7 linked regions of the Xenopus tropicalis genome follow. The protein of the gene in region 2 purifies or fractionates together with the protein of the main gene of each other region. This does not show direct contact. Links are inferred from orthologs where the notes say so. Each region holds a gene or a part of one and is shown on either strand. Other genes may lie near its edges. The genes, in order: nipsnap2, prkcz, csnk2b, pard6g, llgl2, c1qbp and llgl1.

Region 1 (3,500 bases), on a different chromosome or scaffold from region 2:
TACAGCTTGAAAGTGCCCTAAATACAGGGTCGAACTGGGCCGTTGGGACACCGGGAAAAAACCTGGTGGGCCCCGATGGCCCAGACCCGACCCGACCCTTGCTGGCACTTCCCCTGCCCGACTGTTCCTCCCCTGACACGTTAAATGTATGCACGCTCAGGGTGGACGTGGGGTGGGGGCCCCTGGGGGGGTTAAAATGAGGTCTGTTACAAGTTAAAAAAATAAAAAGGAAAGACCTGCTTAGTTGCTGTTGGCAAATCCAGTTGTGCAAAATAGCATCTAAGCTAGTAAACAAGACTTTTAATATTTCCCCAGATTTGTGTTATAGGTCACTTTAAACTACAGCTTGAAAGTGCCCTAAATACAGGGTCGAACTGGGCTGCTGGGACACCTGGAAAAAACCTGGTGGGCCCCGGTGGCCCAGACCCGACCCTTGCTGGCACTTCCCCTGCCCGACTGTTCCTCCCCTGACACGTTAAATGTATGCACGCTCAGGGTGGACGTGGGGTGGGGACCCCTGGGGGGGGTTAAGGGACACGGCCGGCGGGGGCACCTGGAGGGCCCCTGGGGCAGGGGCCCCGGTGGGCCCTGCACCCTCCAGTCCGACCCTGCCCAAATAGCATAATTAAACCACAGAAATATAAAGTTTAATAGTAAAGAAAATTAGGGTCAAGGTAATGCCACCCATAACTTTTTCAGGTGCTTTCACTGCAGCCCATAAATTTGGTGTTAAATTGAGAAAACAATGCAACTGCATGACAAGCATTTGTTCAGGATGAACAAATATGGGGGTAGAAGTACAGCAATTTTACTATCATGTTCAGATGTTAAAAAGATAACAGGTTCTCCATCACTATATACTACAGCAGTGACAATATTGTGCTACATAGACATCCTTACTGGGGAATGAAGAAACATTTAGCTTGGGCAGTATGCCAAGGCCTTGCGAGTAGAATAGTCGTGTAGGCCTATAGCCTAATAGTGGGTTTATAGAGATTACTTCTATAATGATTAGAAGTTATAAGCCAGCCTTGCCTGCTGCCAGAAGGTTTTGCAATAGGAAAAAACATCCCATTGTATTTAAGGTAAAAACTGTTATGTGCAATTGTGAAGCAGTAAGAAGGTAATGCTAAGAACAAGCAAAAAAGAAGAAATGAGCGTGCTTCTCATATAAATAGAAGTCAAACTGACCTAGTCTTACTTTTGGTTATGAGAAATCATAAGATACGATGTCTGATAGCTAAAAGCACAAAAGAAAAAGAAAAACAGTGATCGGGTAGTATAGTGGCAACCATGGAATTCAAAATGCCTGGTAGTCCATACAATTTTTAAGAGAACATTGCCTCAGACAGCATTTTACCAGGGGTGGCAAATAGCCACATTTCTGTGTTTTTCTGGGTTATTGTGTCTCAGTTATATAACAATGTATTATCTCTAAAGTGCTCCATCCTGTACTCCAGCAATAATCCATGAAAACAAGACTTATGGTGCAACAAACTCTATACAAGTTGTAAATCATGTGGAGTGAAAATATATTGAAAAACATTACACTGTGCTCAAGATTGTTTACTGCAGGCAAAGGGAGCTTATATAATAATTTAGTCCTTTTATGGCTTTCTTTTACTAAGGTTGCAGACATCACTGAAGAGAATGGTAGATTCTTCTATGCTGTTTTTCTGTCGCTCTGGTTAGAATAGTCTCTGGCACACAGTTTGAAGGACATTCTGCATGTGCCGGTCACCTGTTACTACAGACACATTCCCTAGAGCTATTTAAAGATGCAGTTAAATTCGCCTTCAGTCCATTTTTCATAAGGGAAATGTCACCCCATAAAGGGTAATAAATTACAAATTACAGGAATCTCCCTCAGACTCTATTTTAAACAAATAATTACATTTTTTTTTTAAATTCCCTTTTCTCTGTAATAATACAACAGTACCTTGTACTTTATCCCTACTAAGCAAGAATTGAGAATGTTGAAGATTGTAAAGCATTTATGTTTATATAGTTATAGTGTGGGGAGATAGACTTAGGCCAGGTGTATTATATTGTATATAGTAATATAAACTCAACGTGCTGCAAGAGCTGTATAACTTGGTCCTTTTGCCATGTCCATTTTAAATCTTGCTTCCCAGCTCTTACTGATATATTGTTATTACAGGGGTCTTGCATCATCGAGTCAGAAAGCCAGAGAAGACAGCTGGTTGCGATCACTCTTTGTTCGTAAAGTCGATCCACGGAAGGATGCTCACTCAAACCTTCTGGCCAAAAAGGAGATCAGTAACCTGTACAAAATTCAGTGTAATTATTACCACTTCTCAGTTACTAGAGCATACATGAAGAGAAGAAAATACTTTCATACAGAAAACCTCTAAGCTGGTATTCCTAAATGTTTTTTGTGATCTACTAAACAGAGGGCAGTTCTAGTGTAGCCTTTCAGACTTTCAGTGGGATGTTTAACCATTTTGGTTAACATCTTTTTTCCTGCAATTACATAGTTATTTTATGATTAATAGAACACCCTCTTCTCATGCAGTGTATTTGGAGTATGGATAATCCCATAAGAGGCAGATATATATATTGATCTATATATTTTGATCTATATAGTTCTGGTACAGGTGCAGTGCACTTCCCTTTCAGTTGAAGGAAACTTGCTCTCAGAAAGTCCCCAAACACTACCCATGGAACCAGAGCTATAAGACTGGACTGAAGTGTGAGATGTTGGTAGAAATGTTAGTGAAGGATTTGGTGATTATTGTTTTATGTATTATGGCTTATATATACTGCAGACTCCAGTCTACCTTCAGTAGCAGTATTCTTCACTGGCATCCAGGCCACACTACAGTTAGGATGAAGGACCAAAGTCTTTAATGTGAACAGACCTTTACAAATTAGGAAAATAAGATATTTACATAGCATCTTGGTTTTATGCGGCAAATTATTTACAATCTTTATATTGCCTGAAAGAAGCTTTTATATTGTATATTGATCAAGCCACTTTCTAGTTAATATTTTCATGTATGGCATGAATGGTCTTTCCTTCTTCTTGTTAATTATTAGCAAAACTTCACTATCCTCATATAATTTTGTGTGCTTTATGCATTGATTTATGACAAATATTTGTTTTAAATTATGATATGACTCACTAATGTAACAGCACTACTGCCATATTTTCCATAATGGTACACATGGAGTTTGCACATATTTATCACCTCATTAATGAAAAACCCAGAGAACAAAAGGCCAGGAAGTCTGAAGTAGTTAGCATCAGTAAGGGTTATGTTAGCAACATTGATATTAAAGGAAGACCCACAGAGAATGACTGCAAGGAATCAGAGTGCAGTCAAGCACCTTTTTGTTTGATGTGTGGCCAGCAGTAGACATCAGGAAACAGCAAATCCTAAATAGCAAGTAAGCGTCATGTTCAACATTATGTGATGTATGTGTGATTTAATCTTTCAATATGGCTATGGCCTCACTTCTGGGTTGATTTTGACCTT
Region 2 (4,075 bases):
CCCTGCTTTATAGTGTGCCACAAAACTCACCTGAGCTTATGTACTAAACACTGGACAAATATTTATGTAGGCAGTAACACATAGCAATGCATCAGTGATTAGCTCTATCCAATAAAAATAATGTTTCCTCGGAGTGGTCACTAACCTGTTTCACCAAATTTTAATGTAGATGCGTAGATGACAAATCAATGCCACACAGGTAACTTGAAGAGTTATAAGACATATGGAAGCATATTTACTAAAGTGTAAATTTTCTTTAACTCTACCAAACTCAACCTCAATCCGGCATTTTTTCAAAACATTGCATATTAACTTGAATTTGAAAATGTTATTTGAATTTAGCACATTCAGAATAAATACCAGGCACAAGCACTTTCCTTCTCTATGGATTACTGGTTTTTTCCTGAACAATGTTATGCACTTTATTAATATTAATAATAAGGCTACTGCACTCTACACTATAACACCTTTAGAGCACTTACTTCCTCACAGATACTTTTCCATGTGAATCATACAGGAAAGATATACTAAGAACTGCCATTTACTATATCGAACGCTATAAGTTTTAGCATCATAATAGGCAATTAGGCATGGAAAGAACAGAATACCACAGAGACAAGTTTGGCCCTTTGTTAGGAGTCTAACCTCCAATATTTTGGTTATAGTTGGAACCATTTTATAATGTTGTTAATACTAGTGAGCAGCTGTTAAAACCTTTACACGCACACTTATCACGACGTTTAAGAAACGAAATTGAGTTTCGCAGAGCAACCTGCCAGCCAAGAGCATCTCAGTGACTATTTACAGCGTTTCCGTTCTTTTATTGTATAATTACTAATGGTCATGCATATTTTCACACTAGCGCTCCTTTTTGTACACGCCCAGGTAATGTTTTATTACAACAGGTGAATTCCACAATCAGCAATGCACTGTGACTCAACAATAAACGCGCACATTCCTTCAGAATAGTGACAGCTCCCTACAATCCATCCTGTTACTCAGTTACAGGTTTATAGCCTTGCTTCCCTTTCCCAGTGTATGACTGGCTGCAGGTGTAATCTCCTTTGTCCCTATTGGTTAATCCCTTGAGTCCTGCGGCAGGTAATTAACATTCGTCTTGCATTGGACAGCTAACCTTTGGCCGGCCTGTGTAATTGGACACTGTATTTTCAATACGAGCACGCGATTTGCTGGAGAGCTATCGGAGAGCTCTGCTATTGGCTGCCACTAACACCCAGTTTACTCCGCCATGTTTCGAGAGTCCGAAGTGCTTCGCAAGGAGAGACTCTTGAGTTTTAGCCGGGGAGTTGTTTGCCAGCGGCGCTGACAGGCAACTGTTTGGTAGCGCCAGGAATTTGGCAACTAAAGAGGCGGGTCAGTGTGCGCAGGTGTGAGGGGATGCTTGGAGTTGTTGCACTGTGACAGGGTTAGACGAGCTGGTACTTATTAACCCTCTCGTATCCGCTGTCCAGTGACGCCTCCTGTATCTCCTCCCTCTCGGCTCCGTAATGTTCGTCCTCCGATTCCGTGTTACACCGGGGGGTGGGGATATCGGCTGGAGTTACGGCCGGGAGTAGCTGATCGGGCTCAGTGGAGAAGCCGAGCTAAAAGGAAGTGTGTGTATCAGTATTGCAGGTAAGGGACAGGCTGACTCAGGTATTTTCTTTCTATACGTGTGTGTATCAAGTGTCCGGTGTCCTAGCTTCCTAGCTCCCATCATCATCATCATCATCATTATTTCTTTACTGTTTCTTTAAATAGAGATCACCTGGCTTCCTGTAGGGAGCTAAAATGACAGCACTGGTTGGGAGCTGCAGTTCAGCTTTTCCATCACCTGCTGAAGTTACCTAGTGATTGTTGAATTCCTGTAGAGGCCGGATTAGAGCTGCTGTAAAGCACTTTAGTACCAGTAACACTGCAATGATTGTGCCCCAGAGTGGTGACAACAGTTGTGAAGGGGAAGTTCTCATACTCACAATGAATATTTATTTCCCATATAATACAAGCTTTTTGTGACCAAGTTTCATGCTGAAAGCAATTCACCTCTGGGAAAGCTCATTCTGTGTTTATTATGGAGGCTGAAGAAGTTCACAGTAAAAGAGTAATGCAACAGATATTGTTGTCCTATGTCACTGTGAATGCTGTGTAACTGGTTAGGGTACTGATTAATAACTAGCTACTGATTGCTTAGTTACTCACATAGAGTGCCTCTATTTCCTTCCGCATCACACATTAGACAATTGGCAGGTTGCCTTTTACATTCTGAATGTGGTATAACAGTGTTTTTCAACCTTTTTTGGGCAAAGGCACACTTGTTTCATGAAAAAAATCACAAGGCACACCACCATTAGAAAATGTTAAAAAATTTAACTCTGTGCCCAGCAGCAGTGCCCCCCTAGTACATTGGTGCCCAGCAGCAGTGCCCCCTAGTACATTGGTGCCAAGAGCAGTGCCCCCCTAGTACATTGGTGCCCAGCAGCAGTGCCCCCCTAGTACATTGGTGCCAAGAGCAGTGCCCCCCTAGTACATTGGTACTACGGCACACCAGGAAACATCTCGCGGCACACTAGTGTGCCGCGGAACAGTGGTTGAAAAACGCTGTGGTATAAAAATGTATTTAATATAAACAGTTTAAGGTGATTTGCAAATTATGCAGAGACTGTTTTTATTCTAACAATATGTAAGTTGTTTGTTATTAAATATTAGATTATATTATTAATAATTATTTGGCTCTGGGTGTATGATTAAGGAAGATTTATACATGTATGCTTCACATATGATGTTATCCAAGCTCTTTTACATCTATGGATGGTTTAATGAGCCCTGTATGTTTTTAAAGTAAAGGTGGCCATACATGGACCGATTCTAGCTGCTGATATTGGTCCTTTAGACCGGCCTGTGTGTGGGCACAAATGACGGGTCTGCCTGACCAACATCTTGCATGAAATCGTCCAGATCTCATTCAGGCAGGTTTGATTTTTCAGTTGGATTGGGGACTGCATCAGCTTGTTAATCCGGTCCCCAAACCAACTGCGCATATACCCGCCAATCTAATTCGAATTAGCCCGATATCGCCCACCTGTAGGTAGGGATATCGGGAGAAGATCCGCTCAATTGGCAACCTCGCTAATCCGATCTGAATAATTATTTGCATATGAAAATTAGGCCATGCAGGGGCTAAAGAGAACTGTATTTGGTGAAAAATTTTCAACTTCTATGTTTGTGACAAAAAGTCACGTGATTTTAAGGATACAGATTAGGTTTGGCCAGACACGTGGATTTGGCTGGATCCAATTCCTGTTGAGGAAGTAGTGGGGGACACAGCCAAACGATTGCTCTGCGAGGAACGAAGGAGTTGGCCGGGAACGTACGGAGACACAAGGGAAGAGATGTAGTGAGGAGCAGAGGAATGGAGGGCTTTGAAGGTTAAGAGAAGGAGTTTGTAAGATATTATTTGTTTAATAGGAAGCCACAATAAGGGCTTTAGCAGGGGGAGGGCCTGAACTCTCCTGGATGAGAGGAGGTGAACTCTGGCAGCAGTATTTAATATAGACTGTAGGGGGCAGAGATTGGAGTTAGGGAGGCCGGTTAGTAGCTGTAGCTTTTTTGCTCCTTCCCAGCTTTCAAATGGAGGTAGAGACTCTAGCAGCCAAAATCCCCTTTGCTCTGTGGGGCCCACTCCTGTTTGTCTCTCAGTCTTTCTATTGCCTTATGGTTGCTAGCTTTCAATTTACTTTAGCAACACTACAGAAACATGTTGCTGCTTAAATTCTGAAGTGCTGCTAAACAAAAGCTAAATTAAAAAAAAAAGAAAAGCAATTGCAGATTGTAGTAGCCTACTGCTGTCTAACAGGCAGAACTAGAAGGTATAATTTAAGACCAATTAAAAAGTTGCTAAGAATAGGCTAATCTATAACCTACTAATTAAAAAATGATCTACTACTTTGAGTCTTATATACTAACATAGGAGCTAATTTGCCAAGAGCAGTCAATCAGGAATTAGATCTGATAAGTCTATTACAAGTTAAGCTAGTCGTTCATGTTTATACACAAGTTTTCAGCCCATGTATGGGGC
Region 3 (4,105 bases), on a different chromosome or scaffold from region 2:
AATACGATTTTGTCGCACAAATTGTTGTGCAAATTGTCGCAAAGTACAAAAAAGTTGTAAACTTTAGAAAAAATATGTATTTTTCGTATTTGGACCTGTCATAATAAATGTGCCCCATAGTATCAAAAAACTATGCAGCAGTGTATAGGGGCTACTGTGTATGGGGGACACTGTGTGGGGGGGGATACTGTGTATGGGGGGGCTACTCTGTATGGGGGGGGCACCTGTGTATGGGGGGGCTACTGTGTATGGGGGACACTGTGTGGGGGACACTGTGGGAGGGTCTACTCTGTATGGGGGGCATCTGTGTATGGGGGGGCTACTGTGTATGGGGGGCTACTGTGTATGGGGGCACTGTGTATGGGGGGGGCAAAACTGGTACATAGTTATAACTCACTTATAACTGACTGCCTTCTCTCTATATTTGTATTTTATATGTAGGAGTTGCTATATTGTTTTTCTTTAGGTAGTACAGTATGAGGGTATAGCACATTTGCGTCTGATCCCGCCATTTCATATATATATAAAAGGAGTATTTTTTTTAAAAATGGGGAGTGGCAATTGGGGCGTGGCCACACAAAGTGGGCGTGGTCAAAAAATCTTTTTGTCCCTCTTTTCATTTTTTTTTAATGTTGGGAGGTATGGACAGGGCGTCTCTTATGACATATAAGGGGTTTCTGCCCAGTCAATATCTGTATGACACAGGGTCAGGGAATGATTTGGCACCAGGGTTGCCATCTGCCTGCTATTTTACCAGCCTGGCCGGTTCCCTGATGCTGATGTTAATAGGAAAAAAGGTTAAAAAAAAACAGGGAAGCTTGTATTTTTCTCCAAAAAGGTGGCAACCCTATTTGTCAGGTTTAAAAATCGCATCCAGCCAAAGTTGCCTGGAGTGTTGATTCAGTCATTTCCTGATGGTAACTGTACAAGCACATAATGATCATCACAAACCAATAAGCTATGATTCAATCATCCAGACGTGGCTCACTGTGCCCTATGAGTTTGCTTAAACATCCAGCAATGCCATGTACACTAGCTTTAAGCAGGTACTACTGCAAACTTCACTGCCACTTTGTGAAAATCCAGGATGGTTCTTTTAATGACTACACTACTCCATAACGTAACTAAAAAAGCCTCGCATGCGCCTACATCTACAAAAATATACAAAATTACATTAGTCACGTATTAGTTATCCACGTCTCCTCTCACAAACGAATCGCATCCGGTGTAGAGTTTTATCTATATGACTACATTTCCCGCGATTCAATCAGAAAGAATTACTTCCGGTCTTTTTGCTTCTGGTTTCTAATGCGCTTGCGCACTAAGGGGACCGGGCCTAGTGCGCTGCGGTGAAATTTTGCCGGTTCAAAGCCTCCAAATATACGGCAAGCAGCGGTCCCTTGGAGGTGAGTGTTTGGGGTAAAGCCCGCCTTGTGTATTCCGGTTCTTTTCTCCTAATCTCCCATTGTATCTTGGCTGTGTCCTATGTTTTAACGCGTTTGTTTGGACCGGAATTGTCGAGCTATAGACCCGGGCCTTACATCACCCCGCCTGGCTTCCCCCTAACCCTTTCGGGCCTATCTATACGTGAGGCAGAGCGGAACACAACTTCCGTTGTTTCGTTCCAGATAGACTATGAGACTGCTGTGTATTTTCTTGTACTTTGCTATAAGCAACATTGCGGATTTCCCCGCATCATTTGATGTTGTTGGGGGCGCCTTATTCCTCTTGTCGCAGTAGTTGTTGAAGCCGCAGTGTGCGCCCATTCTGAAGGCTTATGGCTTCGGGTTCCTGGGCGAGGGCGCAGGCGGCTGCTCCGGGGAGCCCATATTGCTGCAGTCTATTCCCAGCTTAGTACAGGGGATCCGGCGCCAGACGTGCCCAGCACAGCCAAAATGTGGCAGTAATGGTGGTAAAAAGGGAGATCTGAGATGTTTTCCTCTGCTGATCTTTCCTAGAAATGCTAGTGTTCGTGTTTTGGGGTGGGGGTATTCGTGCTTTGTTGGGGGAATGTTATAACCTGGCCATCTCAGTAACTTAGTCTCCTGCTGCACTGTGGGCTTATTTTGATTGCTGACTCTTTATTTAAAAAATTCTGTGCTTTGTTTGTTCCCTATTCCCTCCAGTAGACCTTACAGTGCCCACATCTTGTCTCCCTAATTATATGGAACCATAGCTATTGTCCCTTGTCTGTCTGTACCCCACTTGTACCTTTCATATTACATCTTATTTCTGTCATCTGATTTTACAGCACCCCATTTGTTCCCTTTTTTATATTTTATTTTGCCTCGACCTTAGCGTAATATCCATAGCTTAATTCACGCGCTCCAGTTTTTTTTTTTGCTGCCTCTCATTAACATTGCTGTGTTAGTTTTGTTTAATTTTCTTTAATTCGTTTATACATATTTTGACCCAATACTATGTTTTTTATTGAGTTACTCTCATTTTCCTTGTATAAAAGCTTTTCTTTTTGTTCCTCAGGCTAGAAAATGAGCAGCTCAGAGGAGGTGTCCTGGATTAGCTGGTTTTGTGGTTTAAGAGGCAATGAATTTTTCTGTGAGGTGAGTCTTACTTAAAGATCTTTTCTTTGAGAGAAATAATAACTGTTAATCACAAAATCACTGACAGAAACCTACCAGGTTAGTGAAATAAATAGCTGTAAAAAACACTCCACTTCATCATATAGAAAAAAAATACTACCTCCTACTGCTGTTTTATTCTTGCTGATGTTCTTTCAGCCTCTCTTATCTCACACCCCTCCTGAAAAGAAAATTACTCCTCTTTCTGAAAAATGTATCTCGGCACTGCTTTGTATAGTCAAAAATCATAATGCTTGTGTGTGTTGTTTAGACCAAATTAAATACATTTGCAATATAAACCCATTAAAAATTAACTATCATTTTTTAAATAGAAGCCTTTGTATTTTGCATCTTTTGCTATTCCCCTAAAATGAGCTACAGTTAGCTTTGCCGTCTGATTTATATAGAACAACATTTGTTATAGTGCTTTCCTATCTTAGGGCTATATATAAACACTCGGTTAAGATTTTGACTTTATTTCCCCTTTTAATAGTGCTTTTTATTTAATCAGCTGTAAGGATTTATTCCTACCCGCTTGCCTTTCAGCTCAGTCAAGATTTGACTGTTCCACCTTTTCATTTCCAGCAGAATTACCTCTCCATTTGCAGTTACTGCAGGTAGAACACTTACATTGTATAATTGTACAAAAATAATTAAGAAGCCATTTTTGTGCAATTACATTGTGTTTTATCTTTGGCATTTAATATTGTCTGCAATGGAAAGGAATTTTTCACCATTTTGTCGCCACAACAAAATGCAGGTGACAAAATGCCAGTCGTTGCATTAAAGGACATGTAAACCCTTTATTTTCCTACCATAAAGGTTGGACACATCTTCCTCACACCAACTGAACCATATGTACTGCATATATCGCCTTTGTTCACATATTTTTCTAAAACAAATAGGAGCTTTTACCCATCAGTTTCCCTCTGACACATAAGCATATTTCTCTAGCAGTGTGCACAGCTAGAGCAGTGTTTTTATGAAAACCAGTGATGACCTCTCTTCATTGGCTGCTAGACTGGAGGGTGTGTTTGGTAATTTGAATTAAGAGCTAAGCATGCCCAGTAGCCAACAGCCAAAGTCATTTCCGAAGGAAGAGTAGGTTAGAGGAGGAGAAGGAATCCCAAGTTATCAAGGGGCTGCTGCAGCCTTACAATAGCCTTACAATACCTTTGAACAACCAGAATCACAGGTATTTACATGTCCTTTGAGGGGCAGCCTATTAAATATTACATCTGGTTTTCTAAAGATGTTGCTTTGCTGACATACTTTCTTTTTTAGGTGGATGAAGACTATATCCAGGATAAGTTTAACTTGACAGGACTCAATGAGCAGGTCCCTCACTATAGACAGGCACTGGACATGATACTGGACCTTGAACCTGGTGAGAATATCTCCCATTGTGACTTCAGCTAACTTAATATGCATGCCATCATAGGCATAGTAAACATTATCTTTTTATTAGAACTGGTTATATCCAGCTGTACTTTACAGTTGCCTTCACCAGTCAGAAATGGCGAGCC
Region 4 (3,500 bases), on a different chromosome or scaffold from region 2:
GATTTTACCCACCTTGTTCTTCGTGAAACAGAAAGTACTGCTTTTATTCTAGCTCCCTTTTTAGGAAGCTTTGATGCTGTATGGAAAGGGCATTTAAAGAGAAAAAAAATCTTTGCTAAGTTTAAGGTCAGTGGAAATCTGTCATGTCCTAAAAAAGTCACTGGCTGGTGATAACCAGTGTGTGTTGTCTATAGCCCAAGTTTGAAGTGTTTCTCTTCCAGATCAAGACTAGTCTTCACTGCCATAACATTACAAAAAGCATCCAGGCTGCTGTTCAAAATTGTACTTTTTAATAAGTCCATGTTTAATTCTAACATTTACAAAAGAAATGTGTCTAGTTATTTATTCTGTTCTGAAACTTTTTTTTGTTGTTGTTGTTCTTTTGCAGTATGGGGCCGAGTTTAGAAGGTTCTCTCTTAACCGCTACAAACCAGGAACATTTGATGAGTTCTACAACCTTATTCTTCACATTCATCACATCTCCAGCATGGACGTCATGCTTGGGTATGCGGATGTTCATGGAGACCTTCTCCCTATTAACAACAATGAAAATTTCTTCAAAGCTGTTTCTAGTGCAAACCCACTCCTCCGAGTATTTATTCAAAAGCAAGGTAATGTACGGATTCCATATAATTTTAGTATAGTGGATAAAAAATATATATTTAACTTTGAATATTATTAGGATACTACCGACATGGTAGATTCTCAGCCTGCAAACAAACACAGGCGGAGAATCTGCCCCTACGCTCTGAAATGCTTCTCGATGTGCCTGCACCTATTGTGTTGGCCCGGGGCAGGCACACAGAGTGGATTTTAGCGGTAAGCAACATTCTGCTGGAAACTTTGAGGGTATTGTTGTAGTGGCCTTTTAGGTCAGCTGTTCTGCTGAATGAATATTCTACTTGTGAGACCTGACTCATAGCTGGGCTGGTTCATTGCTCAGGTACCTTGAGGTGTCGCGGAGACACCCATGTATAATAATCATGCATAAAGTAACCGCGCACCAGATAATTTACTGATTTTATATTCTCCAATCACAATTAAGTCCTTGCTTCTACCAGTACTTTTTTAAATATTGTCAATTACATTCGAGATTTTCTGCAGATAGAAGCAATATGTTCATATAGCAGATGTTATTTAAGTGTCTGTAAAACGGGAAATTATCAATAAGGTGATAATTATAAATATAAGTAAGTCTATAAGTCTATATTTTGAGCAGTGCCCAAGATCAGACCAAGCTGAGTCCTAAGATGGATAAAACTGGGCAGATAATAGTCAGTTGGTCAAACTGGCAAATGTGCGAATAATCCAAAATTGGATCAGAATCTGTATGCAAATATATTTCAAAGTGGACATATTGGTAAAATCCAATCAGCCAATGAGCTCATCAGCATAAGTATACATTTAGAGATCAAAAGGATTATTTGAGGCAAGATGTACCTATCTTTAGTCATTATGTCCAGTACTTATACTGTGCTCACTCAAAAATTGTACTCTGTGTCATATGGTATGTAATCCACATCCAGTTGTATAATATTTTTAGGTTATTGTTTTTTTTGCTTTTAATGATTAATACCAGTACCAGCTTTATACTGCATGAAAAACGTTTCCCATAAATTTTGCCATTGTCTTTTTTATCTTTAACCCCTTTTGTTGTTTCCTTAAAAAGTCCCCATTTTATAAAGGGATCTATAACTTTTTGGCTTCCAAAAAAGGCTGTAAATTGCAGTAAATGTTGTTGAGAGAGACATTTCTGTTGAGAGCTGATTCTTGGTTGTAAATATAAAGTTTTATAGGTGCTTAATAGTTAAGGCTAAAAAATGGCACACACCCATTCAGCCTTTTGTTTCATATAACAGTTGGAAAACCTTTTGTGTGCAGTTTTATATGCAATAAAAAAGATGTTGCAGTCAGGGTAGATTAATACATTATTGATTGACTTGCCAGTTTACTGTTTGACCGCAAACACCTGATTGGTTGTTGTGGGTTACAGGTTCTGGAAGGAACTGTACCTGTTATCAAACTGACCATAGTTTTGCATCAGTGCATTTTATATTGTGCTGTTTATACTCGAGGCTGATGCAACAGTGTGCAGTGAATATAATAATGTCTTCATAAAAAAGCAGGTTTTTGGTTTTTTTTTATTTGAAAAAAGTACCACCCTCAAGCTAATATTAAAAGTGTTCAACACACAAAGTTTGCAATTTAATAAACAGCAGAATAAACATTATTGCCATTGCAGAATACAAGTATTTATTATTTTGTATTCTGTTATGCCATTTATTATACTGCGCCTTAAGAAAATATGAAGCTTGTGAACTTCAGTTGCGCAGTGTGCCTGAAGTAGAGAACAATGCCAGTCTTTCGTCTATTTCTCCCAAATCTCCTTTCTCCAACTTTTATGGCTAATGGGGTAAGGGGCACTTTCAGACAATTGAAAAGTACCTTAAATTGTTTAGTGCTCTTCAACCTAAAGGTGCTCACCAGACACAGCGTATTCTTGAGAAGCCAAAAAACACTTGCACAAATATGCCCCAAAGCTTGAAAAAACTTCTACTTTTGCCTGCACTGGGAAGCATTCAATATGCTCAGGTGCAGGCACATGTAGCTGTGCCCGAACGTATTCAGTGCTTCCCGGTGCAGGGACAGGTTTTTTCTAAGCGTAGGGGTCATGGAACTAATGGCAAACGTAAAACGTTTGCTGGGAATATGCTCCTGGGCTGCAGAAATCTTCTACTTGTGCCTGTACCCGGAAGCATTGAATGCACTCTAGTGCAGACACAAGCACCATATTTCTGCCTGAAAATGTTTGCATATGCAGTTTAAGGCAGAAATACACTCCATGTGCCTGCACCATAGTGTATTCAGTGTTTCCGGGTGCTGGCGCAGGTAGGAGATATTTACAGTAGCGGGGCGTATTCTTGCTGAGAATATGCAACGTGTGGCATTAGCCTTAGCGCAGATAAAATACCGCTTACACATCTGATGCATCTCATATCTCCATTCACCCTTTGATGCCTGTCAGTTAGTGTGTGCAATCTTTTTATGCAAAAATACAATGATAAAAAGTACATTATCTGTAAAGTGGATTTTTTCTTATATAATACGCAAATAAATCTAAACTAGCCTATCATCGGTAGCTTGCCAAGAGTAAGCAAATGCTTAGCAAATTCTTGTAAACTTGCCAACTCTTTTCTCATCCTCCTGTGCAGAGTAAAGTAGGTTTAGCTGTCCGTATGTTATCACCTTTTATTTACTGCTATATATTCTGTGCCAGAAGAGAAATGACGGGTGGAAGCTAATAGTGATTGTCCCCCTGTGAGACCCTGGCAGCGAGTGGGAGCTATGATGTGTCTGTGACTGGGCATTGTACCATAGTTCCCATATTCATTTGCTTTTTCTGGCTGCACATAATCAACAGACAAAGGTCAACAAGCAGCTTTACCATTATTTCCCCTCTTGCAATGGCTTTTTCTTTTGCTTTCTTATTTCAGATCAAT
Region 5 (3,007 bases), on a different chromosome or scaffold from region 2:
TGGGTTCTCTCTTCTATATCTCTTTTCCCTTTTGCAGGTTGGCTCCTTTGACCCTTACAGTGATGACCCCAGGCTGGGCATACAGAAGATTTACATGTGCAAATACAGTGGTTACCTCTCTGTGGCTGGCACGGCTGGACAGGTCAGTGAGGAGGAGCTTACGGTGCCACCAGCTTTGTGCAATTAAGTTCCTACTGCCAGGGGTTCCCTTATGACAATGTATCTCACCCCTGATCAGGTTCTGGTTATGGAGCTGAATGATGAAGCTGCAGAGCATGTGGTGGACGAGACCTTAGTAGACCTCCTTCAGGAACAAGAAGGCTACCGCTGGAAGGGCCACGAACGGCTCCATGCTCGGGAGGACCCTGTCCGCTTTCCACCGGGGTTCCAGCCATTTGCCCTGGTGCAGTGCCAGCCCCCTGCTGCTGTTACTTCCCTGGCCCTGCACTCTGAGTGGCGGCTGTTGGCCTTTGGTACCAGCCATGGCTTCGGCTTGTACGACTTTCAGCAGAAGCGCCAAGTAATGGCCAAGTAAGTGATAAAAAAATTAAAAAAAAAAGAGCACAGAGCTGGGCTAGTAGGTCAAGATTAGCTCAACTGTGTCTTTGCTCACAGGTGCACGTTACATGCCAGTGACCAAATGGCGTTGGAGGGTCCCCTGTCACGGGTTAAATCTCTGAAGAAATCTTTGCGTCAGTCATTCCGCCGCATTAGGAGGAGTCAAGTCAACAAGAGAAGACCAGGGCCTGATAGGGTGAGCTGGCACTTTTGTGAGGGCGGGTAACTAAGCTCTGTTTTGCTCCCCACCAGCTCCAGGGTTGCCCCACATTTCTGAATCACGGAGATTCAGCCTTGTGGGATGGGTACCCCAAAACATAGGGCAATAAAGGGTTCCAATCACCTTCTGCCTTTTTAAAGAGCCATAGGATTATGTTCTGCTCTATACAGTATGTTTGAGTGTAAGAGTTCTATGTTCCTGACCCAGGCTAGACTGAGGATATGGGTTGCCTATGACTATACCATTGCGTTAATAACCAGGGAATCCCAGGCAACTCGTGGTTTGGGAAGATACAAGGGACTCTTTGCTTTATGCCCCATCTCTGTTCCCTGATAGGTGCAAGAGGCCAATGCTCGATTTGAGCAGGAAGCTCTGCAAGAGATGGAACTGGCCCCCGTGCAGAGGCGGATAGAGGCCCGCTCGGCTGAGGATTCCTTCACCGGATTCGTGCGCACATTGTACTTTGCCGACACCTACCTGAGGGACAGTGAGTTACCCTAGAGGGTGCTGGCTTCGCACCATAGATGGGACATAATCTTGGGACCTGGGTTTTCATTAGTTCTGAACTTCTTTTCAACTGTTCTTACTAATGCCAATCTCTCTTGCCAGGCTCTAGGCACACGCCTTCCCTCTGGGCGGGGACAAATGGCGGCACAGTGTATGCGTTCTCTTTGCGGGTGCCACCCACAGAGCGCCGAATGGAAGAGGCAGTGGCGGCAACGCAGGGTGAGTGAGCAGAAATTCGTTTCCTTGGCCCTCGCTTGTCATGATGGTTGCTGGTCTTGGGGGTTATCCACCCACAAACTGTTTTGCAGAATGAAAGAAAATGTCATTCTAAGCAACTTCCCATTATAAAATGGAAAAACATTTTGGTTTCAAAGTTATTTGTACATGTAATTGCAGTTGCAAAGCAGTATTTGTGCATCCCTTTCTGTTCCCTGGTTCTGACTCCTGAAACAATGTAACAAAAGTTAGTTCTCCTCATCTGTCAGTCAGCTGGCTTCTGCTACATTGCTTCAGGAGTCAGAGCCAGCAGTGCAGAGAATACAGACAGACAGACACTGCCACAGCAATTGCAGTTACAAATAGCTTTGAATTTAGGTTGGAAAGTGAATTTGAATTACCTTTTTTGGGTGTAGATCCCCTTTCAGGGGCAGATTGTCAGTAATGGATCTTTTATTGCAGCTAAGGAAATCCAACTCATGCACCGGGCTCCGGTTGTGGGGATCCTGGTTCTGGACGGTCACAGCGTTCCTCTCCCAGAACCCTTAGAGGCAGCTCACGATCTCTCCAAGAGCCCCGACATGCAAGGCAGCCACCAGCTATTGGTCACTTCCGAGGAGCAGTTTAAGGTGCAGCTTTGGTTCGGGGCCTCGGATAAGGGGTGCCATAGTATCCATTTATGGGGGGGTGAGTGACTAATGGCATCTGTTTGTCTGCAGGTCTTTACTCTGCCCAAAGTGAGCAGCAAACTGAAGCTAAAACTGACGGCCACGGACGGCTGCCGCGTGCGCAAGATGACGGTGTGCACCTACGGTAGCTGCAAGTCGGAGGAGCACAGCGAGAACCACCTGACCATTCTTACCAACCTGGGGGATATTCAGGTGGTGTCACTGCCCCATCTGAAGCCACAAGTCCGGTACGACTGCATCCGCAAGGAAGATGTGAGCGGCATCGCCTCCTGTGTCTTCACCAAACACGGGCAGGGTGAGTACATTGGGTGGCCCCCCGCGCTGGCTAAGCAGTGGGTATGGAAACTATATGTGGGGGATTCTGTGGCTACCTGATCTACTTGCCCTTTCCTAACCCACTATTTCATCACTATTTTCAAAGGGTTTTATCTAATCTCCCCCTCTGAGTTGGAACGGTTTTCGCTATCCACATGCTGGTTGGTGGCTCCCCGTGCCAGAGTGGATCCTCCGGAGCCCCCTCGTAACTCGCGGCTACGGCGGGGGGGCAGCACTGACCAACCAACTGACAGGTCCAGGTGGGTGTCAAGTGGGGTGGTCCCCCCAACGAATCAACAGCAGGCGTGAACATTATCCTGCCTGTGGTCCCACCAGCTATTGGGCCGTGTATTGATTGTGTATGCGCTGGGACACGGACTGAACCATTTCCCAATTAACCAGAGTTTTCCTTTCTTTGTGTGCAGGTCTTCTGGGACGGACCACACAGGAGGTAGGGGCCAGTCTGGCATTCTCTAAAGCGTATTGCTTAAAGGACAAATCA
Region 6 (4,191 bases), on a different chromosome or scaffold from region 2:
TCAGAAACTTGTGACATAAGTGCCTCAAAACTAAACTTTAGATGGCCATACACTATAACAGGAATCCCCAAACTTTTTTTTATCCAGGAGCCACATTCAAATGCAAAGTGTTGGTGAGCCACACAAGCATGAAAAAAGTTCTTTGGGGATGCCAAATAAGGACTGCTATTGGCTATTTGGTAGCCCCATGTGGACTGAAAGCCTGCAGGAGCCTTTGGTTGGAGTAAAACTTTAAGGCCACTGGGAGCAACATCAAAGGGGTCGGTGAGCAACATGTTGCTTACGAGCCACAGGTTGCAGATCACTGCACTAAGGTGGGCAATATTGGGCTAATTCTATCATTATATATCATTAAATTACAATGAAAAGACTAGAAGTCGTCAGAGCAAGGGCCACAGTGACAAGCCAATGTGGTCTTCAATCCCACAGTAAATTTAAACCAGCCCGATTTCACTGGCACATAAGGCCCCCCCTAAACCAGAGGGCCCACTTTTATGTTATCTTATCAATTTTTAAAAAAAAAAAAGTAATTTTAGTTTGAAAAATGACATTATTATTATTAACATTTATTTATAAAGCGCCAACATATTCCGCAGCGCTGTACAATAAGTGGGTTTTATACAGTGGAGATACAAAGTAAAATATGAAGCAATCAATAACTGATACAACAGGTGAAGAGGGCCCTGCCCAAAAGAGCTTACAATCTACAAATACATGGTGCTGTTCCAATATTTTGCTAAAGTGTCCGTAAAGTGTAGTAAGAGGAATGTACACTGGCTTTACAACCAGGAGCCATATTAGGATATATACCTCAAAGGCAGCTGCTTACAGACGGGAGCTGTTTGTTTGTTCAGGTAGAAGGAGAGCTTTGAACAAACAACCATGTTTAGAAGAAAAGAGCGGCTTATTTGAGTAAAAATAACCCAAATTTCAAAGTCATACTTTATAACTGCAAAAAATAAGATTTTTATTTTTTTTTAAACTGAAACAATATGCAGAATGCCATTTCAGCTCGAGTCCTATTTATTGTATTTATTTTCAGCCAAGGTGTTTTCAGGTGTACACAGTGGGGCAGAATATGCACGCCAACATCAGCAGTGATGTTGCCCCTAGCAACCAATCAGAGCTTTGCTTTTGTTCTCTAACTACTACTTTAGCTACTGATTGGTTGCTACAGGGTAACATCTCCGGTAATGTTGGCTTACACAAAACTATAATAAATATGACCCTTCAGAAGTACAAGCATTGTGTTTCTCCAAGCTGCCAGTCTATGTGACCAGTAAACCACTGGATTCTAATTTCTCATTTCAAGCGTTACAATACAACGTCTATATACAACAAAGGTTTCTCTTCCGAACGTATTCCTTACAGACAGAAGCAATCAACAGCGACCTCTGCGTGTAGCCAAGGAGACCTTGACGACACTTCCTGTGCTCCGCCTCCTTTTCGGGAGGTGAAAGGTCAGGGGTGTCACGGTGTCCTCTTGTCACACACACACGTGGGTATCTGCAGGACCATGTTCTCCACACTGTCCCGAGCTCTCTTATCCGCCACACGGGTAGCGGCCGTACGGCCCCAACAGCTGCTGAGCTCTTTGTGCACCGGACGATCCTTCTCACGCTCATTATGTTTGCTCGGGGGGAATCCGGGGCTCAGGCAGACTTTCCTGCATCCTCAACGTGGCTTCCCGGCCGTGTCCTGTGGCTGTGGGGGACTGCACACTGAGGGTAAGTGCTCTCCTGGCCCTTACATTAGTGCGCTATGTAAGGCAGGGTTTTGGTACCATTCCACAACTAAACTGTGAGCTCTTCGGGACATGGATGTACATTTTTTGTCTGTTCTTCGCGTCTGCCTCCCAGACATTTGTATGCCTACATCCACATACTGAAAATGCTTGTTTTTCTTAATGCTTGTTTCGATATCAGATTATAATATAAATGTTTTTTAAATCATTTTATTTCATGAATATGAGATTCATTATATATGAAAAATAACCTTTCTGTAAATTGTTTTGAATCAAGTAATTCTTCACTAGAGCTTTCTCAAGTATGCAGGCTTTGTGTCATATTTTGGACATATTTTTTACATTGTCGGGTCAGTGTTTCCTTTGCCTAGATGGTATTTTACATTAAATTATCCTAAAATACTATGGGACCAGATAAAGCAGGAATATGCACATTACAAATATTTTATTGTGTCATTGTTGAGATGTGAAATGATTTATTAGTGTAATTCCTGAATGATGTTGCATGTGTGACTTTCAGAGTTGTAAGTCATCCCCAATGGAACCAAAACTGTTTTATATACTACCTTAGTGCTCATTCCAAACAAGATACTGCAAACAGTATAACATGAATAAAAATGTAAGATATAGACATATAAGTTATCGGCAAGTACAATATATTCACTTTATTACAAAAAAAAATTACATTTGCAGGATACGTTTGCTATGTCCCGTTTTCTCAAAGAAAATAAAGACTTAATTCTTAAAAGTAGTATAGAATGTGTAATAGGTGTGCATGATCAAGTTGTTTCTTTAGAAGTCTGAAAGCTGATGCACAGTTTTGAAAAATAAGCTTCAAATCCCCCCTAAAATGTGTTGATTTATTTTTTATATTTATTGTAGGTGACAAGGCATTTGCTGAATTTCTCAAAGATGAAATCAAAGAAGAGAGAAAGATCCAGAAACATAAGAACCTTCCCAAAATGTCTGGTGGGTGGGAATTAGACATCAATGGCACAGAGGCTAAACTGGTCAGAAAAATATCAGGTGAAAAGTAAGTGTACTAATGATGGTTGCCTATATCCTAGCATATAGTTAAATGATATGATGAATCTGCCACTTGAGATAAAAATTATATTGTCCTCTTAAGTAAGCCTTATTTTTTTAATCCCCTAAAATTACTCTAAACAGCCCCCAGAATAACACACGTTTTAACCATGAAAATTGATTTTGTTTTTGTATTACAAGCAGCTGCATCTCCTTTACTGACTTGCTTGTCTAATGTGAAGCTCTGCCCTGTTTAGCTTTCTAAGCTCTCCTCTCTTCCACTATGAAGACCTTAAAGAGGTGCTTACTGGGCATGCTCACTGCCTCTGCACACAATAAAATCAATCAGGCATGAGGTCATAGTCGGAGAGAGGAGTGCTCCGAAAGCAAAAAGGGGAGGGGGCTTCCCCCTAGACAAGGAGGTCATTAAAAATGCTGTAGTTGAACTGACTGTAATAGGGAAACTAAAATTTGGATGAGAGAAAGGTATGTTGTTCTGGGGGCTGTACAGAGTTTTAAAAAAAAAAACCTACTTATTTTGACTTGTTCTTTTACTGACCCAATTCATCTTCCTGGGTTGATGTAGAGGCATTTTGTTAAGAAACATATTCTTGCTTCAGTGATTAAACATTGGACCTCAGATATAAGTGCAGTAGAATACGATTGTAATGTATTCACATTAAGCACAAAACCAGAATAATCTGCTATACATGCTCATGTATAGTCCACTAATATTTTAAGACAAGACAAGGAATTCAGGGGAAACATTATCATAATACCTGATTTATGATTCTTAATTTTACCTTTGCAATAGGCAGTAACAAATGAGAATGAAAATTAAATTGGAAGGAAAAGGCATAATCACTGAGGGGTGTCAAAATATAAGTGATTATTGGTGCAAGTTGACTATATTCCTGGATGGCCAAGTTGCTCCTATTCCTTCTTGGTTTACATTGCATTGTGGGGATGAGGTGATGTTCTCGTAGGCAAGATGTTAACATTTGTCCTCCAGCCTATCAGAACATTGTCCCTTCCCCAAGTGTGCTGTCACTCATGAAGATGTTTAACTTCAAGCCATGCAAGTTAGTAAGGGATGAGCTGGAGGAGGCAGGTGGGCACATACATTACAAAAGAATAACAGCACTAGGGTTTATATATTCCTGTTAAAACCTGGAATGTGCCTCTATCCCATTAAGACTTATTTTCTGGGAGTCTGAAAATATATTAAGTGTAGTGACAGCTTATAGATTACCAGCTAACCATTTAATGGCCAAATACATCAATATAATCAGCATGGTGGGTAGACTGGTGAAATCCTATGTAAACATATTGAAGTAGCATCAGTTATAATTACTTAAGCTTGGAAAATATATTTTGTCTTATTAGGATTGCAGTTACTTTCAACACAAACAATAGCATTC
Region 7 (3,500 bases), on a different chromosome or scaffold from region 2:
ATCACTCTGTGTGATTTGCCTGGAAGTGGGGCTGAAATGTCGTCTTTCTCTAGGTGCACTCTGCACCCCAATGACTCGCTCGCTATGGAGGGTCCCTTATCCAGGGTGAAGTCCCTGAAGAAGTCCCTACGGCAGTCGTTCCGCAGGATACGGAAGAGCAGGGTCTCTGGGAAGAAAAGGCCAAACACAGGCAGCCCCCCCAGCAGGGTAAGGAGCAGTTAATGAAAAATGTGCATATTGGTGAAATTTGGGCTAATCGGCTTATAAAACTGCTACTGTTTCTTTGTTGCTATTAGCTACAGGAGGCCAACGCTCAGCTGGCGGAACAAGCTGGGCCACATGACCTTGACATTGCCCCCGTGCAGAGAAGGATTGAGCCCCGCTCGGCCGATGATTCCCTGTCGGGTGTCGTGCGTTGCTTGTATTTTGCAGACACTTTCCTACGGGACGGTAAGGAATTAAGGCTCATCGTGCACCGTACAAATTCTCCCCCATAGTTGCCTGTCAGTGGATTTAGGCAATGGTTCATATATTGGGGATGGGGTCTGGAACATGAACCCTGGTACTAGTATCGATCCTCTTCTACTCCATCAAGTCACCCCACGAGCCAATCAGATTGTGGTGTGGAAGTGTTGGGTGCTCCTGTCTTTCACTGTCAGACTAAACACCCATTTTTGTTATTTAGCGATCCATCACGGCCCCACCATGTGGGCAGGCACCAATTCCGGCTCTGTATTTGCGTACGCTTTAGAGGTGCCTTCGAGGGAGAAGTTATCGGACCGCTCGGCAGAGGCTGTGTTGGGCAAGGAGATCCAGCTCATGCATCGGGCCCCGGTAGTGTCCATCGCAGTGCTGGACGGGCGGGGAAACCCCCTGCCTGAGCCCTTTGAGGTTTCCCAGGATTTGGCCAAAGCCCCGGACATGCAAGGGACCCACTCGGTGCTCATCTCTTCCGAGGAACAGTTTAAGGTCAGTTTTGGATGAAGCTGCATTTGCCCTGCTGGCACCACATGGGCTTCATGGTGCGCTGTGACCGGCAGAACTGCACTGCTCTAGTGGCCTGTGGGCTGATTGGCCAGATTGCTTAAGGGTGAAGACACACTGAGCAGCTACTTTTTCACGGCTACTACACTCTAGAAAATCCCCTGCCATAGACAATAGAATAGCTCTGTGTGCCTTAACCCTAAAGGAACAGTAACCCCCAAAAAATAAAAGTAATTAGAATATAATGTACCATTGGCCTGCACTGGTAAAACTGCTGTGTTTGCGTCAGATTACTACCTGCTGTCCAGAACCAGAATCACCTCAGATGGGAGTAGGGAGAGTTGCATCTACGTTTGGGGTGTCTAATTCGGACAGCTGGGGGTTTGTGTCTCCTTTAAAAAATAAAGTAACCCAAATTTGTACCTTGTACAACCCTCCTTTACTCCAACCAAACAAAGGAAACCTGACCTGAAAAGACCAAGCTGGATAACTGGGTTGGTGCAAATGGGGCAGACTGGCTGCTTGGAGCATTCTGCTTCATTATTGGCAGTGCTTTGCCTCACTGCAGCCTTGCCTTACATTCTGAGCAGCTGCTGCTTTGTTATAGGAAGGAAGTGGCGCGGGCTGTGATTCAGCGGAAATGAGCTTCCCACAGCAGTACACACACACACACACACACACACACACACACACACACACACACACACACACACACACACGGGTATAATATTGTACTGGCAACTTAGTTACTCTGGTACACAGGCGGGTATAGTATTATGGTATATATGGTTTATGTATGTGAGGGGATAGATAGGTCAGTGTGGGTCTGTATGGGAGTGGATAGATAGGTCAGTGTGGGTCTGTATGGGAGTGGATAGATAGGTCAGTGTGGGTCTGTATGGGAGTGGATAGATAGGTCAGTGTGGGTCTGTATGCGAGTGGATAGATAGGTCAGTGTGGGTCTGTATGTGAGTGGATAGATAGGTCAGTGTGGGTCTGTATGTGAGTGGATAGATAGGTCAGTGTGGGTCTGTATGTGAGTGGATAGATAGGTCAGTGTGGGTTTGTATGTGAGTGGATGGATAGGTCAGTGTGGGTCTGTATGTGAGTGGATGGATAGGTCAGTGTGGGTTTGTATGTGAGTGGATAGATAGGTCAGTGTGGGTTTGTATGTGCTAACTATGTAGTGACTTGGTTACTTGGGTGCTGGTGCACAGGTGGGTGTAATGTACCTGTAACTTGCAATGCACAACATTATGGCATCGGGAAAGTAACTAAGAGGAAAACCCTGGTTTATATTTTTTTTACCTTCTGCGCTCGCCAGGTATTCACGTTGCCCAAGGTCAGTGCCAAGACAAAGTTTAAGCTGACTGCCCACGAGGGCTGCCGCGTGAGGAAAGTCGCCCTCGCCACCTTCACCAGTGCCACTTCCGACGACTACTCCGAGAACTGTTTGGCGTGCTTGACCAATCTGGGGGACATCCACGTGTTCACTGTGCCGGGGCTGCGGCCTCAAGTGCGCTACGACTGCATACGGAAGGAGGACATCAGTGGCATCGCCTCCTGCGTATTCACCAAGTACGGGCAAGGTGAGGCCAAGGCAGAGGGGTAACCTGATTGGCAGATGTAGAACAGTCATGGCTGAAGGACATAAGTGGCATATCCCTGTAACCAGACCTAATGGCGGTTCTTTGCTGACCCCCAGGCTTTTACCTGATCTCCCCCTCGGAGTTTGAACGCTTTTCTCTGAGTGCCAAGAACATCACAGAACCCGTGTGTCTGGTGGAGTTTGATCGGCCCCACGATCCATTACACTTCAGGTAAGAGGGCTCCGCAGTTGCCCTTGGTGGCACAGGGGTTGCCATTGCTGCCCAGCACTACACTGGTCTGGTTAAACTACAGGCAAGTTTCCTTCCATGGGCCAGAAGCTTTCTAGTTGCTTCATTGGTCAGGGTTTGCTGGTATTCCGTGGGAGGGTCCGTGGCCAGGATTGGCTGTAGATGCTGATTATAACTTTTCTGTCGCAGCAATAAGATGACTCCATCTCCGAAGGGCAACCAGGCCAATGGGACGCACATACTGAGGGACTCTGAAGCGAGCCAGCAGGCAACAGAAGGTAGTGAGCTGTAACCAATCATATATAACTATACTGTGAGGCCAATGCAAAAGGGGGATATTTAAAGTCTGTTGGTCCTTAAAGATTCTCATGAAACGCCTCACTTCTCTCATGCAGGGAACGGGTGTGAGCGTATGGCAGAATTCTCGCCCTCTCCTCTCGACTCGCCGATGAACAGCATGGATACCACTCTGGACACCACGGGAGACATAACGGTGGAGGACGTGAGGGATATACTGGGGTGAGCCTTGTGGGGGCCGCTCCGAAATGATGGCTGCCATAGTAGTATGAGCATTGCAGTTCCACGGGGTGGGCAGGATCCATTGCAGGGTGTGTTGTCTGTGTCTCAGGCTTACAGAGAAGGAAGAGTTTGTTTTAAGGCGGTGCTTATCAGTGCAAT

What was found.
Region 1: the proteins of prkcz (region 2) and nipsnap2 purify together in Homo sapiens (affinity purification with mass spectrometry; 3 studies listed by BioGRID and IntAct, counting the BioPlex papers as one, with this or other methods). This does not show direct contact. The link is inferred for Xenopus tropicalis from reciprocal best matches to the Homo sapiens genes PRKCZ and NIPSNAP2.
Region 3: the proteins of prkcz (region 2) and csnk2b purify together in Homo sapiens (affinity purification with western blotting; 3 studies listed by BioGRID and IntAct, with this or other methods). This does not show direct contact. The link is inferred for Xenopus tropicalis from reciprocal best matches to the Homo sapiens genes PRKCZ and CSNK2B.
Region 4: the proteins of prkcz (region 2) and pard6g purify together in Homo sapiens (affinity purification with mass spectrometry; 6 studies listed by BioGRID and IntAct, counting the BioPlex papers as one, with this or other methods). This does not show direct contact. The link is inferred for Xenopus tropicalis from reciprocal best matches to the Homo sapiens genes PRKCZ and PARD6G.
Region 5: the proteins of prkcz (region 2) and llgl2 purify together in Homo sapiens (affinity purification with mass spectrometry; 7 studies listed by BioGRID and IntAct, counting the BioPlex papers as one, with this or other methods). This does not show direct contact. The link is inferred for Xenopus tropicalis from reciprocal best matches to the Homo sapiens genes PRKCZ and LLGL2.
Region 6: the proteins of prkcz (region 2) and c1qbp purify together in Homo sapiens (affinity purification with mass spectrometry; 5 studies listed by BioGRID and IntAct, with this or other methods). This does not show direct contact. The link is inferred for Xenopus tropicalis from reciprocal best matches to the Homo sapiens genes PRKCZ and C1QBP.
Region 7: the proteins of prkcz (region 2) and llgl1 purify together in Homo sapiens (affinity purification with mass spectrometry; 6 studies listed by BioGRID and IntAct, counting the BioPlex papers as one, with this or other methods). This does not show direct contact. The link is inferred for Xenopus tropicalis from reciprocal best matches to the Homo sapiens genes PRKCZ and LLGL1.

The regions. Positions count from the first base shown.
Region 1 is NC_030678.2:98,148,833-98,152,332, reverse strand, and holds part of nipsnap2 (protein NipSnap homolog 2), read left to right. Parts: intron 1-2,161; coding exon 2,162-2,301; intron 2,302-3,500. UniProt on the Homo sapiens protein: Protein involved in mitophagy by facilitating recruitment of the autophagy machinery required for clearance of damaged mitochondria.
Region 2 is NC_030683.2:91,512,102-91,516,176, reverse strand, and holds the start of prkcz (protein kinase C zeta type), read left to right. Parts: upstream 1-1,275; 5' UTR 1,276-1,635; intron 1,636-4,075. UniProt on the Homo sapiens protein: Calcium- and diacylglycerol-independent serine/threonine-protein kinase that functions in phosphatidylinositol 3-kinase (PI3K) pathway and mitogen-activated protein (MAP) kinase cascade, and is involved in NF-kappa-B activation, mitogenic signaling, cell proliferation, cell polarity, inflammatory response and maintenance of long-term potentiation (LTP).
Region 3 is NC_030684.2:74,724,673-74,728,777, forward strand, and holds the start of csnk2b (casein kinase II subunit beta), read left to right. Parts: upstream 1-1,305; 5' UTR 1,306-1,406; intron 1,407-2,481; 5' UTR 2,482-2,489; coding exon 2,490-2,561; intron 2,562-3,863; coding exon 3,864-3,966; intron 3,967-4,105. UniProt on the Homo sapiens protein: Regulatory subunit of casein kinase II/CK2.
Region 4 is NC_030682.2:96,284,769-96,288,268, reverse strand, and holds part of pard6g (partitioning defective 6 homolog gamma), read left to right. Parts: intron 1-388; coding exon 389-611; intron 612-3,500. UniProt on the Homo sapiens protein: Adapter protein involved in asymmetrical cell division and cell polarization processes. May play a role in the formation of epithelial tight junctions. The PARD6-PARD3 complex links GTP-bound Rho small GTPases to atypical protein kinase C proteins.
Region 5 is NC_030686.2:44,579,306-44,582,312, forward strand, and holds part of llgl2 (LLGL scribble cell polarity complex component 2), read left to right. Parts: intron 1-37; coding exon 38-142; intron 143-238; coding exon 239-531; intron 532-615; coding exon 616-754; intron 755-1,114; coding exon 1,115-1,265; intron 1,266-1,387; coding exon 1,388-1,504; intron 1,505-1,963; coding exon 1,964-2,130; intron 2,131-2,220; coding exon 2,221-2,485; intron 2,486-2,611; coding exon 2,612-2,765; intron 2,766-2,930; coding exon 2,931-2,956; intron 2,957-3,007. UniProt on the Homo sapiens protein: Part of a complex with GPSM2/LGN, PRKCI/aPKC and PARD6B/Par-6, which may ensure the correct organization and orientation of bipolar spindles for normal cell division.
Region 6 is NC_030678.2:105,098,247-105,102,437, reverse strand, and holds the start of c1qbp (complement component 1 Q subcomponent-binding protein, mitochondrial), read left to right. Parts: upstream 1-1,391; 5' UTR 1,392-1,516; coding exon 1,517-1,727; intron 1,728-2,626; coding exon 2,627-2,777; intron 2,778-4,156; coding exon 4,157-4,191.
Region 7 is NC_030685.2:15,997,226-16,000,725, reverse strand, and holds part of llgl1 (lethal(2) giant larvae protein homolog 1), read left to right. Parts: intron 1-53; coding exon 54-207; intron 208-296; coding exon 297-450; intron 451-685; coding exon 686-969; intron 970-2,308; coding exon 2,309-2,573; intron 2,574-2,689; coding exon 2,690-2,804; intron 2,805-3,011; coding exon 3,012-3,100; intron 3,101-3,217; coding exon 3,218-3,341; intron 3,342-3,500. UniProt on the Homo sapiens protein: Cortical cytoskeleton protein found in a complex involved in maintaining cell polarity and epithelial integrity. Involved in the regulation of mitotic spindle orientation, proliferation, differentiation and tissue organization of neuroepithelial cells.